Kluyveromyces lactis: one gene and its partner. The protein of the gene in region 2 purifies or fractionates together with the protein of the main gene of each other region. This does not show direct contact. Links are inferred from orthologs where the notes say so. Each region holds a gene or a part of one and is shown on either strand. Other genes may lie near its edges.

Region 1 (2,455 bases), on a different chromosome or scaffold from region 2:
GCGTGTTAAGCATCTCATTTCATTCAAAGAGTCACAACTAGATAGGTTCCGTCCAGTTGCCGGAATAGAAACCGGTAGTGCCTCTGAGCAAAGTAAGCCTTCTCTTGCAGAGATTAAGGATATTATCAACAGAACTTCTGGCCCATTAGGTTTGAAGAAAGATCTATTAAAGAAAGTTCAAGAGGCTTTACCAGAAGAACATTTCAACGATACTCAAATCCAAGAACAGATAAGATCGTTGAATGCTATAATGAGCGATAAATATAAGAATTATTATGCTGTAGGGGACAAATTATACAAGCCAGCAGGTAACCCAATTTATTACAAAAGATTGCATGACGAAATCGAAGGTAAGGGTAAGGAAACTTTCTTTACAGCTATGAGAACTGTCGTATTTGGTAAGTAATTTCGGTTTCAGGGTTTTAGAGCTTCGTATGCATATATGTATATATCATTTCTGTCTTTTTCGTTTCTAGTGTATCTGTACTGTACAGGCCTCCATACACTGACTGTAAATAATTTATATTCAATCTATTCTATTTATTCTGTTTATCTGTTGCTGATAAATGTACTATTAAAGCGTAGATTGTTGGTTCCAGTTCCGACCTGTGAACGCTTTGAATTTATTGATTCGCATTGAAATGTAGAATCATTTCTTGGCGTATCCAATCTTTATCGTTACATTCTTGAATGGATGATCATGACCTAAGGTTTCAACAACTTTAGTGGCATTTGCTGTAGAATCATATTCAACAAAGCAAAGATTTCTGACACTGACCAATCTAACCTCTTTAAATCCATCTGAGACAAATAACTTTTCCAATTCTTGCTGAGTAACATCTTTTGGAAGATTTTGAACCAATAGGACATGGTGAGGGGGATTTCCGACAATGTCAAAGACTTTTTTAGTGGAGGAAACTTTCTCCGACTGCTGTGACATAGCAGTCTTGTTGGTACCTTCAGGATTTGTTTTTCTGGGCTTTGAAAGAAGCTTCTGTATGGTTTCTTCGTCCAAATCCTTCTTTCTAAGCTTACTTCTAGCTCTTCTTAACCTTCTTTTCAACACTTCGTTTTTTGTCTTGGTCTTGGGCTGTGAATTATCCACAGCTTTACGTGTACGTAACCGAAGTTCATCCTGTAGCTGTTTCTGTTGTCCCTGGTAGTACAAAGCTGCGAAAGAATCCGTATTCGCCAGCTTTATATTTATCTTTCTCCCATTAATCTTGAGCTTGCCTTGAAATTCTATAAGGAACGTATTACAACTGTCTGAGTCCTTAAAAGTGACGAAACAAGACCTCCTCAAGGGTCTTGAGCCATACCTTGATACCTCTATGATCTGATACTTTTCATCGAGTACTGGTGTAACCGCATCAGCCTCACTAGTTTCTTTCTTCGAGTTCAGATCGAATCTTGTACTAACATCATTTGAAATAGAACGATGATCTGAATTAACACTTGATAGTAGTAAGGCTCTGAATTTGGACAATGAGTCGGGCCTCGACGGTAGATTCGACAGATATAAGGTACTGACCATTGCTTGCCGATAGATACTAGCTTTGTATGGCATGTGTAATAACCTAATAGAGAAGGATATCACAACCTATTAACAAATAGTCCATACGTATTAGTATTAGTAAATTTGTTGACAATGAAAGTTGTTGTTACGTTAAGTTAAGATTATATGAATAACTAAATACTAAATAGAAATGTAAATACAGTGAGAACAAAACAAAAAAAAACGAACAGAGAAACTAAATCCACATTAATTGAGAGTTCTATCTATTAGAAAATGCAAACTCCAACTAAATGGGAAAACAGATAACCTCTTTTATTTTTTTTTAATGTTTGATATTCGAGTCTTTTTCTTTTGTTAGGTTTATATTCATCATTTCAATGAATAAAAGAAGCTTCTTATTTTGGTTGCAAAGAATGAAAAAAAAGGATTTTTTCATACTTCTAAAGCTTCAATTATAACCAAAAATTTTATAAATGAAGAGAAAAAATCTAGTAGTATCAAGTTAAACTTATTTCTTACCAGCCTTGACAGCGGCCTTGGTGACCTTACCGGCCTTGTCAGTCTTGTCAACGGACTTGATAACACCGACAGCGACGGTTTGTCTCATGTCTCTGACAGCGAATCTACCTAGAGGTGGGTAGTCAGAGAAGGCTTCAACACACATTGGCTTAGATGGAACGAACTTAACCAAAGCAGCATCACCGGACTTCAAGAACTTTGGAGAGTCTTCCAACTTCTTACCGGATCTTCTGTCGTTCTTTTCCAACAATTCGTCGAACTTACAAGCAATGTGAGCAGTGTGACAATCCAAAACTGGAGAGTAACCAGCAGAGATTTGACCTGGATGGTTCAAGACGATAACAGTGGCGTTGAAAGAAGCAGCAGCCTTTGGTGGATCGTTCTTGGAGTCACCACAGACGTTACCTCTTCTGATTTCCT
Region 2 (3,287 bases):
ATCTACAGGTATATCCCTTGCAATATGTTGTAACGCGTTGGGTTACTCATGCCATATCTCGCTACCGGACGATACAAGCCAAGAGAAACTTTCTCTTTTAACTGCACTTGGTGCAATAGTGAACAAGGTAAAACCTGCTAGTATAGTGGATCCGAACCAATACGTAAATGCAGCTAAGTCGTGTTCAGAAGAGTACACTGAGGGTGTTGGTGTATTTGCAGATCAATTCGAGAACGAGGCCAATTGGAAATGCCATTACGAAACGACAGGACCTGAAATTTATCTACAATTAAATGGGGAAGTGGATGCATTCATCACGGGATGCGGTACTGGTGGTACCATGGCCGGTGTTTCTCGTTATCTAAAGGAGAAAAGAGGTGACAAAGTACATATTGTGTTGGCTGATCCGCAAGGCTCGGGTTTCTACAATAGAATCAAATACGGTGTCATGTACGATAACGTAGAGAAAGAAGGAACAAGAAGAAGACATCAAGTGGACACATTAGTGGAAGGAATTGGTCTTAACAGAATTACAAACAACTTTCTGAAAGCGGAAAATTATATAGATGATTCCATCAGAATTACAGACGAGGAAGCTATTAAGATGGCCAAATTCTTATGTGTAAATGACGGATTATTCGTTGGTGCCAGTACTGCAATCAATGCAGTCGCAGTGCTGAAATATGCGGAAAACTTACCGAAGGGTTCAAATGTTTGCATCATTGCATGTGACAGTGGCTCTAGACATTTAAGCAAGTTCTGGAAAGAGGCCCTGCAGGTGAGTAACGATCTTTCAATTTCAGATATCATATAAATAACGTACAGTGTGTTTAACTTTGGTCTTTTGTAAATATCAATTAATTGGAAAAATCTTGAAATATATATATCGAGAGAGTAGACGTAAAGTTTCAGCGATGAGTTAGCAAATAAACGCTGATACTACTAGGCCGAACGTGTTTAACTCACTAATGGATACTGTATTGTTTGTGTCGCCCACATTATACTGCTGTGGAGACACGAAGAACTGGCAATCACAGGTGCCGAAGCCAGGATATGTGCCGATTTTGAAGAGTGATATCCCCAAATTTGAACAGTCGTTGAAACAAGCCAACAGCCATAGAGACCATGATAAAGGGAATTCAGTAGCCTCGAAGACTAATGAAACGGACAATTCTGATGAATTCAAGACTTCAACTTCACGCTATGTTGATTTGAAGTCCTTTTTACCAATTTCGTTAGAACAACAGTTGCATACCGTTTGTTTAGCACATTTTCCACTGGGACTTGGATCCAAGGGTATTGATAAAGTTATGGACAGACTAGACAATCTAATACGGAAAAAGCTGCAAGTTGAAGATAATGAGACCAAATTTATCAAACAATGGAGTTACGTCGATTGTGTGAATACGTTGACGGTATATATAAGTTTCCAGGAAAGTATAGTGGAAGAATATGGGAAAGCGATACAGTTACTTGAGAAATTGTTTGACAACGGGTCAGATGGGATCGGACTTCACATGGATGAAAACACTAGACGGTTCGTTTGCGATCTGACGGAAGGTTCTCCTGCTAAGGAACTCGATGAAACTGCAAAAGATGAGTTCTCCGCATTAATTACAATGTTGAGATCTGAACCAGGCTCTATATCTCAGGAGAAAGGGTTGGCTGGAAATAGTGCCGTTGAGTATAACGTGGATATAAGTACGTTGAGTGACCTTCCGAGTTCCTCATTAGACCAATTGTGTAAGGATATTGTTGAGTTTAGAACTCGTGTCATTACGTTAGAGAAAGAGAAACGGAATAAAGAGCTAGCGGAGGAAGAAAAACGGAGGAAACAAAACTTGAAGCATATATTTGACCGTATCAAGGTTACTAATGGAGGCTCGGAAAAAGGTTCAGCCCCTGAAGCTGAAAGTGACTCTGAAGATTCAGACGACGAGGTTGAGGGTTACGATGATGAAGATGCGGACGATTACGAAGCGGAAAAAAAAAGAGTTCAAGCGGAAAGAGATGCGCAAGAAGCCCAGTATGAATCCATGGTTCATAGTTTCCAAGATTCGTTACTGGTCCAATACTCATCGCTACGACAAGAATACCAAAGGTTACAAAACTACGAAACGCATTTACAAAAGAACAAAGGTCCTATGTTAAAAGAGTTATTACATCTTGCCATGGATCCTTACCACGACCATCACAGGCCATACAAGGAATCTGAATCCAAGGCAGATGAAGAGGACCGTAAACGGGAATCTGAAGAAGTACCAAAGAAAAAAGCAACAGAAACAGAGCCAGAGACAGAACTAGAGCTAGAGCTAGAGCCAGAGACAGAGACAGAGACAAAATTGGTATCGGACGCAGATGCGACAACGGCTGCACCAAAGATTAAATTAGCACTAAAGAAATCCATTGGAAAGACAAAGAATGAGATAGAAGAGGAAGAGACTCCTGAAACCGATGCGTTCCAACAGAAGTTGAATCTACTAAGGGAAAGCGGCGTAGTGGAAGAACTCGTCAAAGAATACTTGGGAGTTTACGAGCCCGACTTAGTCTCATATATCTTTGAAAACATCGAAGAACATCAATCGAAACAGGCACTCGAGACTGAGCTTACAGAGACGTTCGACGAAGATAGCCCTGTCCTAGTGAGCCGTATATGGGAAGCGATGGAACAGTAGTGGAATATACCATACATGTGAATATACATATATATGTATATGTAGGTATGTGTGTCACATGTCTAATAATGAGATTCTATTACCCGGTTACGTCTCACGTGACTGTCACGAAATTTTTTCGCCCGATTCGAGTGTTCCAGCCAGATCGGGCGGTAACATGAGGTTACTAGAGGTCCGGGTAATCGTGTTTCATATTGATTCGCGTTTTGTATATCGTATATAGCGATACATTCTCAACTTCACCAATTTTTTACCAGATCCAGAACGGTTACAGGAAGAATTGGCAGGATGAGATAAACAAAGGAACAAACATAGAGATTCTATTACTTGTAACTTATGTACACACCTGATAATGGTGGAATTTAGTTTCTGTTTTCGTTCGGGTTGCTTTAGGCAAAAGATAATAAGTTTTTAGATTCGAGATTTATCGTCAGGGTCAAACTTTTCAACAAAGAACGTTACCAGTGGTAATATTTTGGTGTATACATCTTTCTTTTCTTTGTGTTCCTCCATTCATTCATTTATTGATTCATCTCAAATTACTTATAAGTTTTTTATACATTTGATAAGAAGGATCTATTAGAGGTTTTTAATAAAGAAAGATTATCAGAA

What was found. The genes of interacting proteins can lie anywhere in the genome.
Region 1: the proteins of SNU71 (region 2) and MUD1 purify together in Saccharomyces cerevisiae (affinity purification with mass spectrometry; 9 studies listed by BioGRID, with this or other methods). This does not show direct contact. The link is inferred for Kluyveromyces lactis from reciprocal best matches to the Saccharomyces cerevisiae genes SNU71 and MUD1.

The regions. Positions count from the first base shown.
Region 1 is NC_006038.1:785,473-787,927, forward strand, and holds MUD1 (Mud1p), read right to left. Parts: upstream 1,568-2,455; coding exon 650-1,567; downstream 1-649. Other genes in the region: CBP6 (Cbp6p), read left to right, coding at 1-406; TEF2 (translation elongation factor EF-1 alpha), read right to left, coding at 2,025-2,455. UniProt on the Saccharomyces cerevisiae protein: Involved in nuclear mRNA splicing. The principal role of the U1A is to help fold or maintain U1 RNA in an active configuration. It is the first snRNP to interact with pre-mRNA.
Region 2 is NC_006039.1:1,599,356-1,602,642, reverse strand, and holds SNU71 (Snu71p), read left to right. Parts: upstream 1-968; coding exon 969-2,675; downstream 2,676-3,287. Other genes in the region: MCY1 (putative cysteine synthase), read left to right, coding at 1-814. UniProt on the Saccharomyces cerevisiae protein: Component of the U1 snRNP particle, which recognizes and binds the 5'-splice site of pre-mRNA. Together with other non-snRNP factors, U1 snRNP forms the spliceosomal commitment complex, that targets pre-mRNA to the splicing pathway.